Canis lupus familiaris: one gene and its partners. The protein of the gene in region 3 purifies or fractionates together with the protein of the main gene of each other region. This does not show direct contact. Links are inferred from orthologs where the notes say so. Each region holds a gene or a part of one and is shown on either strand. Other genes may lie near its edges.

Evidence for each region.
Region 1: the proteins of CD151 (region 3) and ITGB1 purify together in Homo sapiens (affinity purification with western blotting; 4 studies listed by BioGRID and IntAct, with this or other methods). This does not show direct contact. The link is inferred for Canis lupus familiaris from reciprocal best matches to the Homo sapiens genes CD151 and ITGB1.
Region 2: the proteins of CD151 (region 3) and ITGA3 purify together in Homo sapiens (co-immunoprecipitation; 4 studies listed by BioGRID and IntAct, with this or other methods). This does not show direct contact. The link is inferred for Canis lupus familiaris from reciprocal best matches to the Homo sapiens genes CD151 and ITGA3.

Annotation. Positions count from the first base shown.
Region 1 is NC_049223.1:3,937,872-3,941,877, reverse strand, and holds the start of ITGB1 (integrin beta-1), read right to left. Parts: upstream 2,801-4,006; 5' UTR 2,643-2,800; intron 1-2,642.
Region 2 is NC_049230.1:26,015,393-26,019,528, reverse strand, and holds the start of ITGA3 (integrin alpha-3), read right to left. Parts: upstream 2,801-4,136; coding exon 2,595-2,800; intron 1-2,594.
Region 3 is NC_049239.1:45,626,500-45,630,717, reverse strand, and holds the start of CD151 (CD151 antigen), read right to left. Parts: upstream 2,801-4,218; 5' UTR 2,723-2,800; intron 1,742-2,722; 5' UTR 1,677-1,741; intron 787-1,676; 5' UTR 786-786; coding exon 705-785; intron 561-704; coding exon 369-560; intron 15-368; coding exon 1-14. UniProt on the Homo sapiens protein: Structural component of specialized membrane microdomains known as tetraspanin-enriched microdomains (TERMs), which act as platforms for receptor clustering and signaling.

The sequences.
Region 1 (4,006 bases), on a different chromosome or scaffold from region 3:
TAGATACTGCTTCCATTTCAGGATCCTGAAGACTAAGGCACTCTTCCTTACTGTTATCCCTGTCAATCCATCCCCCTTCCCCAAGACTCCCACTATGACAACAAAAAAGAACAAAACCCCCACAATATATGACCAAAGTTAGAACAGACCCACTAATACCACAAGACATATTTTCATATTTGCACAGTATAATCCTCTAGGATTCTACCCCAACCTGATACATCCTAACTTTCCATGCAGAGTGAGGAAATCTAAAATTTAACAAGAGTCCATATAAGTCCTTAGATACATTCAAGCTTTTATACATTCAGAAACTGAAAATCTCAGAAGTCAGAAGTTCTGCAACTTTGAACCGGCAAAAGATGTTTCATCTCATCATTCCAGCAGTGTAGTTAAGAACAGACCAGTGTACCAACCGAATATCAAAGAAAAATATTTTCCTGAGGTAGAGTGTTATACTACCCCACCCCCATATCGTAAGCCGCAATTTATTTGACAAGAAGCCAAACAATAAAGCTATTATGTGGCAAGTATTCCGTTAAAACTGGCACATTAAACTGATTAATTCTGCCTATTACAAAATGACCAGACGTCCCCAGAGAAGCTCCTGGAGTTAGGAGTTTATTGATAACCATGCAGAACTGCATATTCATTCAGTGATGGAAATTTGGGCCAGATTTTAATTATATTGACCAGAGAGTTAAGAAAAAAACCACCTAATTGTTAAAATCACTAAACCTAGCAATTTTCAATATTGTTGATTCTATATTTTTTCACGTACAGACTGTTGAGGGTATTATAAAATAGTAATATAAAATAATCATAATGGAGAATTCAGCATTCTTTTAAAGAGACTCAACATTACAAAAACTAAATTTTAAGTCTGTGAAGTCAACACAGATACCTTCATTTGGAATTTATTTGCTTTCTATTTACAAAAGTATTAACCACATCCCCTGTCTTTTTAGCTAACATTCTAATAACATCTTCCATTTTATGAATTTTCAAATAAATAAATGGCTTTTTCCCCAGAGCCCTGTCCCCAACAGACCTGTCCCTCTGTTTCCTATGTATCACTTCATTATCTTAAGCCACTCATTTAATATTGATCAATGAACTAAAATTATTTAAAAATATGAACACTGTAGTGAACTCTTAATTACCATCCCCTGTGGGTGTAGATGTTCACAGATGTAGACTAGGTTAACTTCCACCTGAAATTCCTTAATCATTTCTAAAAGTGGTCTATTAATATAACTAAAGGCTGTATGCCCTTTCGGAAAAATGCCTAACCAACATTTATTTCACATTATTTTTATACCATCAAAACAACCAAAAATAACAGCATAGCGGATCAATTACGTCCTGAGATTTTTTTTTAAATCTTTTTCATATATCAAGAAGAGACAGAAAGGAGTCCTATGCATTTAGCATCTACTGTAAGCTGTTTTACATATTACATCTGATATTCACAACTCTATGGTCTTTATGGAACCTGTTACTTGAACCTGTGATTCAAACATGGGCTCTGGTGCTAGACCCCATGGGTTCTTCACTCACTAGGCTGGATGATCAGAGGCAAATTACTTAGGCCTCCTGTGCCTCAGTTTCTTCACTAGTAAAATGAGTATAAAAACTGCACCTACCTCATTGTATTGGTTCCAGGATAAACACAGGTAAAGTGCGTAGAGCTAACCACGGCCCGCACTGTCCTTACTAGAATAGCTGCTTTTATTATTAGTGTAGGTATTCTTGTTCCCATTTTACGGGTGAGGAAATGGAAGCCCCAAGAGGGTAATTTACTAGTGTTAGTTTTTGACTAAAAAGTACAAATTCGATGAAATAAAAATGACTTAGGCATAAAATATTGGTAGTAACTACAACTTGTTAGGAAGCCCAAGAATTGAGGCGCAGTAAGAGGCCGGGCCCCAGGGCAGGTGGGCACTGGCTCCTGCAGAGCCGCGGGAGCCCCTGGCCGGCCCCCTGCTGAGGGACCCCCCACTCGGCGCGGCCCTCACACACCCCAAGTCGCCAAGCCCGCGCCTTCCCCGGCTCCCGACGCCCGCCTCTCTTTGGGCCCGGCCCGCAGTTAGCCCCGGCAGCAGGCCCTGAAGGCTGCGGCCCGACTTCTGCAAGCGGGAAGCGCGCTACTACGCTCCAGGCCGCTCGGGGGAGAGCGGCCCCGACGGGACCGGGAACAAAGGGAAGCCGCAAGGGCTCGCTCCAAGCCCCGGGGCCTCGGGCCGCGGGCGGCCCCGCTCGCCCCTCCCCGCACGCGGAACCCGGGCCCAGGCGGCCCACGAGGCAGGCCGGCTCGCTCCGCGCGCTCGGGGCCCCCCACCGCGGCGGGACAGCGCCCAGGCCCGCGACCCCCACTCGCGAGGCGGCGGGACGAGCTCCGGGCCTCGGCGGGCGCAGCCGGCCCGGCCCCCGGCCCCCGGCCCCCGGCCCCCGCCCCGGCCCCGGCCCCCGCCCCGGCCCCGGGGCAGCGTTTCGTCCCGCAGCCCCGCCACCGCGCCCGCCGCCCCGCCCCCGCCCCCGCCCCACGCAGGCCCGGCCGCGGCGCCCCGGCCCGCGCCGCCCGCCACACGCACACACGCGCACACGCGCACACGCACACACGCGCGCACACACGGCGCCACCTTCTCCGGGGCGTCCGGGCCGCGGTCGGCTGGGGCCTGCAGCTCCGGGACTCCGGGACTCGGCTCGGCCTCTCCCGACGGCTAGCGCGGCCTCCCGGCTCTCGGGCGCGGCGGCGGCGGCGGCTCCTCCTCCTCGGGGGCGGGGGCAGGAGACTCGGCCGCCCGGAGCCGCCTCCCGGCAGGAAACGACCCCCGCGGCACCGCCTCTTCGGCCCCGCCGCTCCTGCTCCTCCGGCCGCCGCGGCCGCTCCTGCTCCCCTCCCTCCGGAAACGCATTCCTGCCGGGCGGCGTCAGCTCGCCTGAGGCGGGGAGGGGAGGAGGACGCCGGAGGAGCGCGGAGGGAGGGCGGGCGGGCGGGAGAGGAGGAGGGGCGGGGGAGACGGAGGGGAGGACCGGCAGAGGGAGCAGGAGGAGGAGACGAGGGGAGGACCGGCAGAGGGAGCAGGATCCGGAGGACCGGGAGCAGGAGGAGGGGAGGACGCGCAGGGGAGCAGGATCCCGAGGACCGGAGCAGGAGGAGGGGAGGAGGAGACGAGGGGAGGACCGGCAGAGGGAGCAGGATCCGGAGGACCGGGAGCAGGAGGAGGGGAGGACGCGCAGGGGAGCAGGATCCCGAGGACCGGAGCAGGAGGAGGGGAGGAGGAGACGAGGGGAGGACCGGCAGAGGGAGCAGGATCCCGAGGACCGGGAGCAGGAGGAGGGGAGGACGCGCAGGGGAGCAGGATCCGGAGGACGGGGAGCAGGAGGAGGGGAGGAGGAGACGAGGGGAGGACCGGCAGAGGGAGCAGGATCCCGAGGACCGGGAGCAGGAGGAGGGGAGGACGCGCAGGGGAGCAGGATCCCAAGGACGGGGGAGCACGGGAGCAGGGGGACCAGGAGGAGGGGGCCAGAAAGCCGAGGCCAGGCCCAAGGAGCAGGGTGGGAGCTGGCCTGGGACTGGGCCTTCGCTGTGCCTCAGTTTCCGCTCCCGCCGACCGACCGACCGAGGGAGGTGCGTGGGGGGGGGGGGGGGGCGTCGGGAGCCTGGGGCTGAACACCTGCTGGGCCTTGCGGTCCACTGCCCCAGAGCCACACCCAGTGGTCCCGTCAGCCCAGGATCTCCTTCAGTCCCAGGCACATCCAGAGGATCACCCACCCTCTGGGGCTTCCAGGGGCCCAAACTTTAACTTCTAGGGAATTAGCTAAAGCCACTACTGTTGACTGGAGTGGATAGTTGGCTTGACTTGGCTGTATGAGGTGGTGAAGACAGGAAGGCGGTCAATGCCAAGAAAGATGGATTTTTAGGAAAGTTTTAGAGAAAAGAAAAACTGGTAAGTTAGGGATCTCCTTTTGTTAGATTAATCTGGAGGCCCATTTATGGGGA
Region 2 (4,136 bases), on a different chromosome or scaffold from region 3:
CCCAGAGACAAAAGAGATAGGGAACAAAGAGGGTCCACACCTGGGTTTCTAACCATTTCTAGAATAAGGCCATCTTTGAGAATATGATGAAAACTGTGCTCTTCCCCTCCTCCTGCCCGCAGAACAACGCACAGATGCATGATTTTACATGTATTTTCAGGGGTCCCTGCACCTCCTGCAAACCTTCTATGAGCCCCAGGCTAAGAGTTTTTATTCATGACCATGAAACCTCTCCCCTCTTCCAAAAGGACTTGTAGACTAACAGAATATAAGACTTGACTTGTTGGTTGCCCTAAGCTGTGCACTCAGGCAGCTGTTCACATCTGGCTATACAGCTGGCTGCAACTAAGACCAGATGGCCCAGCTGGCTCTCCCAAAGGGCCAAGGGGCAGAATTCAGCAAGAAGAGGAGATGAACCAAGATATAGAACTACCCTGGGGAAAGACAGGATACCCAAGAGAATGGCCCAGACCTCTGTTTAGAACTTCCTGCCTCTCCAAGGGTCATTAGCTTTAGAACCTCCTGGGCTCTTAGCAGGTCTAATGCCATCTCTAGCCACCCAGGAAGAAAGGTAAAGCCCCTCTGCTCAGCCATCTTGGGTGAGGCACATGGGTAGTAAGAGCCTGGCTTCAGCACAAGAGCACTAACTGCTCCCCGGAGACACAGGCATGTACAGAGCCTTTTACACACGCTGTCTCACTAGAGAGCCCCACTGGCACCTCATGAAGAAGGCATGCTGCCCCGCCTCCTTCCGCCAACATGTAGAGACGTTAAGACTCAGGTATTAGTGACAGTTCCGAGACTGGAATGTGGCAGTGGGACTCCGGCGCCTCGCCTCTTCTCTCTCTCCAATCGCAAGCTGCCTCTTATAGGCCAACAGAGGCAGGAAGGACTCTATAGATCCAGGTCCAACCCCTTTTTGGAGAAAACTGGCCCAGAGAAGGGAAATGTCTTGCTCAAGGTCACATGGTGGGTAGGGGGGATGGGGAGCGGGGTTTACAGAGCCCATTATCTACTCCAGCTTTTCATTATTTACTCTTGCTTTCCTGATCTTCTTTTTACACTGCATTGCTTTATATCATGCAGAGTCAGTCTGGAAAGTCAGAAAATCTTTTTCTGGGCTGGGGCAGAAAAAGCGCCAATACAGAAACTTGTGCTGATGGTCACTTTTAAGGTCTGCAAAAGATGAAAGGCTGGCCGAGGGCATGGTGCTGCGCTGGGAAGGATGTGGTGGCCTTAGCCTCTGCAGAAGCTAGATGGAGGCCCAGGTAGATAGGTATACTGGGCAGGGGCTGGGCCGACAGGGCAGAGGCCAAGGCTGGGGCAGAGTTTGGACTTTGGACATTCCAAGCTTCCTCAAGTTTCTGCAGGCTCCAGCCAGAGTTGAGAAAGGTTACAATACACCCTGTATCAGACCATGTCCTCTTGCTCAGTGGAGTGAGACACCAGGTAGGGATAGCTGTCTGGTAGGTCCCCCAGCCCAGAGACTTAGGTGGGGCCTGCCTGACCTTTCCTAACACCTTCTCTCCTGGGGTAGCCTCCCCTCCCCTCCCCCAGCGGCCTTCTTCCCCTGGCTGTCAACCTCAGCACCTGAGCCTACAGAAGAAAAATCCCTGAAACCTGGACTCTAGGCAGGAGAGTGCCGGTGGCAGCGGGAAGCAGGAAGCAGGGTAGGAAACAAACAGCTGGATGCAATCTCCTTCTCTCCTCTCTCCTGTGGGTAGCTCTCCCCCCTTCCTTCTCCTTACAGCTGTCAGGGGGGGGGAAGTCTAACAGAAGAGAAAAACACCATTTCCCTCTTCAAACCAAAACAAACACACTCAGGGTTGAAGATTCAACATGAATCTGTGGAATGTGGGGAAGATGTCTGGTGGGAGGGCGTCCCTGCTGGGGGTGCGGTGGGGGCAGGAGACCAAGCAGGAGTCCGGACAGCTCCCTCTACTTCCCCATCTTCAAGGGGTCAGAGGGAGCTCCCGGACAGCTCCAAATGCCCAGACTCGCCCATCACCTCACCCTGCAACCGCCAAGCGCCAAGCCCCTTAGAAGGCCCTCCAGTCTGGCTCTGCAGAGGGTGTGGCTGGCATGGCCCGCAGGCAGGCAGACTAAACGCAAGGTGTAAAGGCCGGCGGGCGGGAGGGGGGAGGTGTTAAACACACATGCCCACAGGTTCTTCCCAGGAAAGGGGATAGAGGGTTCCACTGAGTGTTTACCTTGCAGTTTTCCCCAGGTCCCAGCCCTGGAGAGAAGTATTCATAGATTAGATACTAGGTCGACAGAGTGGGAGGGGGCTTGGGAAACGGGGACCCCACTTCCACTTTCAAGAGAGGTTTAAAGGGTTGAGGGGCTGAGTTTAGGCAGGTTCCGGCCGGTCAGCACTTGCTAATGACTGCTGACCCCATCCCACACCCACTCCCTCCACTTGCCGCCAGACCTCGGCCGCAGAAGGGCTGCCCAGGCCCCCGCCCCCTTAATCCCGGTCACTAGAGCCGGCGGCCCGCGGGCCTGGAAGCCAGGCTGCGCCCAGGCTCGGATCCGCACCGGCGCGCGCACGGTCTCCCCGCCCCGCCCCGCCCCGCCCCGCCCGCCTCACTTACAGGTAGCGCCGCTGCCGCTCCGTCTGCCGATGGAGGGCGACCGAGTAGCCGAAGAGGCTGCCCGGGTTCCTGGCCTCTTTCACCACCAGGAATCGGGTGTCCAGGTTGAAGGCGGAGGCGACGCGGCCGCCGGCGGCCACCATCAAGGCGAGCGCGCAGAGCACCGGGCGCGGGACGCAGGCGGCGCGGCGGGCGCGCGGGCCCATGGCTGCGGGGGCGGGGGCGGGGGCGGGGGGCGGGGGCGCCCGGCGCTGGGAGCCAGGACCCGTCCACCTGCCGCGCGCTCGGCGGGGGACCGCGGAGACCGCTCCGGCGGGCGCGTCCCGGAGCCCCGCAGCGCTGCGAAGTTTCTGGCCCTCAGCCGCGTCGGTGTCACGTCCGCCCAGGGTCTGCGCGCCCCGATTCCTCTCCGAGGCTCGCCGGTCTACCGTCCCGCCTGCCCAGCCGCCGGTCACGGCCCCCCCGCCCCGGGCACTGCCCCCGGCTCGTCCCGGCCGCGCCCCCTTCGCCCTGGGCTCCGCGGCGGATCTGGGAACGCAGACCCGTGGATCGCGAGGAAGACGGGAGGGAGCGGTCCTCTCCGCGCGCGCCCCGCCTCCACGCCCAGCCCCGCACCTCCCCACCTTGCGCGCCCAGCCGGGGCTCCGCTTTCCTTCCGGGGAAAGAGAAAAGGTCCCGGCTCCGCCACCGCCTCTTAAAGGGGCAGCACCGCCCCTCCCTCCTCATCCTCCCCGACCAGGCTCCGCCCTCTCCCCCAAACACCTGTCGGGAGCCCCCAAAGGCTTGGGTTTCCCCTCTCCGCCCCTTGCTTCTCCTAGGAAGCGTCACCTCCCGAGCAAGATGGATTGGCCGGGCGGGGCCGGGGGTGGGATTTGTCTGGAGGCTGGGCTCCGGCCGCTGCTGCTGCTGGCAAGGCCGTTCCCGGCGCGGCCACCTCGGCGGGCCGGCTGGAGAGCCCCGGCGTTGGCGCATCTGGGAGCCCACATCTGCGCGCCGCTCGGGGCAATGCCGGCTTCGCCTCCGCAGCGCTGTGAATCCCTGAGAGGCGGTTGGCGGTCTCTGGGCCTTCTTCCTCGCACCCAGGCCCTTCGCTGTCCTTGTCCAGATGTGCTTCTCTGGCCCGCCCGCACCCACCCACCCTGACCCGGGCTGGATATGTTCCCTCGGCAAAGCCCGACAGATATTTAGCAGTGGTACTAACCAAGCGTTGCTAATTGTAATGAGCAGCAAGACAGCACTTCCCCCACAGGGCTCCGCCTTCTGGTATCCCTCATACACCCTCCGGCGTGTAAATGAGTCCCTTCTCCTTAGAATGCACTGTGTGGCCAGGGAACTGGGCCCAGACTGCACCCATATCTCATCCGCTCCTGCCTTCAGGGCCCGGCACAGCAGAATCCCAAATGTCTCCTCCTCCTCCTACCCGGGCTCAGCCTGAGTGTTTGGAGATGGGGCGGGGACGCCAGCCTCCGTAGGTGTGTAGTGAGTGGCACTAGGTGGAGGTAGGTGGGCAGGGCCCAAAGGCCCGGTCATCCTCAGAAGAAT
Region 3 (4,218 bases):
AGCAGGATGAAGTACTGGGGGTGAGCAGGGACCCAGTTAGGTGGGACTGGACACATGCAGTCCTATCCCATGAGGACTCCCAGTGTCCAGCACTGCAGAGCAGAGCCCCCAGCCTCCGATCCCAAGTGGCCACAGAGGGCTCTGGGCAGCAGGTGGGTGCTGGCGGTCCCTGATGCTTTCCCTCAGAGCTGGTGTCTTCCCTCAGCTAGCCCAGCTGGGATGTGGGGACTCAGGGCTGGACAAGTGCCCCCCCCCCCCCAGCACAGATAAGCACAGCACAGGCTATTCTCCAATGTCACACCTGACCCCCAACATTCCTTTCCTTCTCAGATCCAGCCCAGACAGCCTAGTGGGGAGCCCCCACTAACCAGGCGCAGCAGGTTCCGCCGCTCCTTGAAGGTGGCACAGCAGCCCAGAACGCCAGTCACCATGACGACAACGCCAGCCACCACCAGGATGTAGGCTGTGGCCAGGTAGGTGCCCGAGGCCAGCAAGCTGATATAGTCACTCTTGAGGGCCAGCGTCCAGATGCCCACTGCCATGACGGCCAGACCAGCCAGCTGTGGGCAGTGCACACTGGTCAGCACATCTGGCCCCAGGTCTAAGGGATGGGGCTGAGCCCCCAGGCCAAGGCTCCCTTCAGGGACCAGGGATGGGAGGGAGGAGACACCTGCCCGTGGCAGTCAGTGGGAGGGAGTCCTCACCCAGAAGCAGCAGTTGAAGGTGAAGAGCAGGTACTTGAGGCAGACGGTGCCACATGTCGTCTTCTCATTGAACTCCCCCATCCTGGGGCCGAGAGGCAAGGGGAGGTCAGATAGCTCACACCACCAGGACTTAACTGGGAGGCCAGCCAGACACCAGTGGGGATGGTAGGGAGGGGGACACCGATGCCCAGGCAAGCCCTGGGTTGAAGCCCAGCCAACCAGCTGCCCCGAATGAAGGTCCTGGGAAAGTGTTCACAAGAAGCAGGATGTCTCCTGGGAGAGCACTTCGAGGGCCCCCACCCCCAGCGCAGCCAGGGCCAGTGTCTGGTGCCCACAGCCAAGCTGAAGGCCAGGCCCTAGAAGGCCGAAGGGCCCGGCTTCTCTGCTCAGTGCCCAGCGCACAAAGGAGACATGGAGGACCCCAAGCATCACCGCTGACTCACCTCTGCTGGCAGCCAGGGTAGGAAGACCCGGCAGGTCCCTCAGGGTGAGCTCATGCAGGCCCCGCCCATCCCTCCCCCCCACAACATTCCCGGAGCTGCACGTCACAGTCTGGCAGGCTAGAGGCTAGCAGGCACCCACTGGAGGCTGAAGGATTGGAGGCCACTCAGACACAGGCTGATTGGCCCCTTACTAGCCACATAGCCTCAGGGAAGCCCCTTGGGTTTCTGTTAAAGGGACGGCCTTCCTTTCTCAGAGCCAGGCTGGGAAGAAGAGACGGTGCTGGACAGGCAGAGCCAGCAGAAACACATGCCCCAGACCTCTGCTGGTCCTCACTACTGGAAAGGGGGCCACACCAACCCCAGCAAGATGCGAAGGGACACTTTGCCTGTTCCGCTGTGCAGAGTCTGCACTGGGGAGGGTGGGAGAGGGCCCCACGGCACAGATGGCAGCTGGACGCCCCCCCTCCCACGTTTCCAGACAGACAGCACCACCCAGAGCTGAACTTTCACCACCCCACCCAGCACTTACCTGGCTGCTGGTGGAGACTGGCTCCTCTCTAAGACAGGTGGACGGAAGTTCCCTAAGAGCCTCCACTAGAAAGGCAGGGACAGGTCACAGGCCTGGCCGGCGCTGGCAGGATCGTATCACCCCTCCTTGTGGCCGCCTCTGGCAGTGGATCCGGACCAGCTGGGCTTCCGGAGTAGGCAGCGTCCACTCCCAGGGCAGGGAGGGGAGAGGCCAGGCCCGGTATTTTAGTCTGGGCTTGGGCGGGGCAGGGCAGAAAACATTTCTGGATAGTGTGATCCTGGAAGGGGAGGGACCACTCGCCTTCTCCAAGCACCCCGCTCTGGGCCTTCCTGCGGACCGGCCACTGCCCCTTACCCCGCCCAACAGCAGTACCTGCCGGCCAGGCAGGAAAAAAGACGCAGACCGCTGCCGCGGAGCTGGGGTACGGCGGCCCCTGGGCCCGGGCAGAGGCCCCAGCCCCCACGGCCCGCGCGCACAACCGGCAGAGGAGGGGCCCCGGTTTCCGGGAGTGCCTGGCGGATGCGAGCCCCCTTGGGACGCGCCGGCCAGAGATAGTTCCTGCGGCCGTGACACAGCTGCCCCAGCCCAGACCCTGCGACTCAGCCGGGGGTCTCGGCCGCCCGCGCCCCGCCCGCAGGACTGGACCCTGCGCTCCGCGCAGCCAGGCCCGGGGAGGCATCGGCGCGTTACCGCGTGGAGCCGCCGCCCCCGCCCGGACGAGCGACGTTGGAAGGAAGGGCACCGGTGTCCGGAGACAATGACCACGGTGCTCCGATGAGGCCGAAGGGGCCGCCAGGCCTGCGCAAAAACCCCGGGGGCGCCTCGCCCCCGCTCCGGGCGCCCCTCTGCCCACCCGGGCGCCGCTCTGCGCACCCGGCTCCCCGGCGGCCGGCTCCCTCCGGAAGGGGCTCGCGCGGCGGCTGCGGCCGGGTCGGCGGCCGGGCCCTCCCGGGCCTCCCGGGCCTCCCTCCAGACGCCTGCAGCTGGGCCCCGGAGTCCGGGACGCACGGCCCCTCCCGGCCCGTCTGGCCCGGCGGCGCACTCACCGGCCACGCGTCGGAGTCGGCGGGGCGGGCGGGGAGGGGCGATGGGGGCGGTGGCTCGGGGTGCGGAGACTGCGCGGCCGCCGGGGGCCTGCGAGAGCTGCGCGCCCCGCCCGCGCCCCGGGCCCCGGGCCCCGCCCACGGCCCCAGGCCCCGCCCACGGCCCCGGCCCCAGGCCCCGCCCACGGCGGCGGGCGCGGGGCAGGTCCCGACAGTGCGCGGGCGGGCGGCGGCGGCGGCGGCGGGGTCCGCCCGGGACTGCGGAGGCGGGCGTGCTGCAGCCCGCGGGCGCCGCGGCCCCGCCAGGGACTCATACCCTCGGGAGACAGAGGAGCTGAGCGGGGGGCGGTGGAGACGGCGGCGGCCCGCCCGGCCGGGGCTCTGGACTGTGTCCGAGGCCGCGCCCTCCTCCAGGCCCAGTTCCCGGTTCTCTCCTCCAAACGCAGGGGCCGCCTGGGGCTGCAGGGTCGGCAGGACAGATGCTGGCCTCTGTGGGGGAGGTCTGGAGTTGCGATCGGATGCAGGAGTGGGGTCTCTGGGCGCAGTATACAGGATGGCCTGGGTCCCTGCCACAGACAGTCTGGTCTGGGAGGTCTGGGTCCTGGGAGGGCTGGCAAGGGCTGAGGGAGACCGGGTGGAGCCTGCTGACCTGCCAGACTGCAAAACGGACAGTGGGATTAAGGAGATGGAGCGTACCCCCAGCCCACCAGGCTCATTCCCAGACCCAGGGAGGGACGTCAGAATCTGCAGGCATTTAGAATAGCTCTGCGCAAACAGTGGGCAACACTCGTCCTCAGCTCTTTGCCCAGGGTTGGTGGTTCTGGCCAGCAGCTCCCAGCTTCCCAGAGAGGGTGGAGGAAGGAACAGAGAGGTGGCTGGAGACCTACCCCTTGGAGGTCCCGCTCAGGACTGGCTCGCCTCAAGTGGGCTGAGGTGGTCCACCCAGGGCCAGGTATGTGTGAGGACCGGTTTGGGGAGGAGGCTGGGAGCGGGCTCCTTAGTGAAACAATGGGCCTCAGTCCCCCTGTTCCTACAGAGGGCCCTATGGGACTTCAGCCTTAATGGACAGTGAGGTCTTGAAGGCATGACCAGAGACATACAGGGACATCCGTAGCCCCAGGTCCACAGGGCCAGGGACCCTTGCCACACAGGTACCATCCACTTGGTTGAGGGTACCATGGATACCCCATTTGTGTAGCACACGCATGCTGTGGCTTTTTACACATAGGCCAAGGAGGTCACAGTGCAGTCAATGGGCTTTATTGGGAGGAAGGAGTTTTTCTGCTGGTCAGAGATCGGTTTGATGGAATGGGGACAGGATGGGGACCAGCAGGGAGGAACATGAAACGGGCCGCTCCTCAGTTCCTTCATGTCTACATGCAGGCAGGCCAGGCAGTCCACGGAATAGAGCCCACATCCTGGATGGGCAGCCCCTAGCCACGATGCACCACCTTCAAGGGGCAGCTTCTCCAAGTAACGCCCAGTGAGTCACTCAGGGA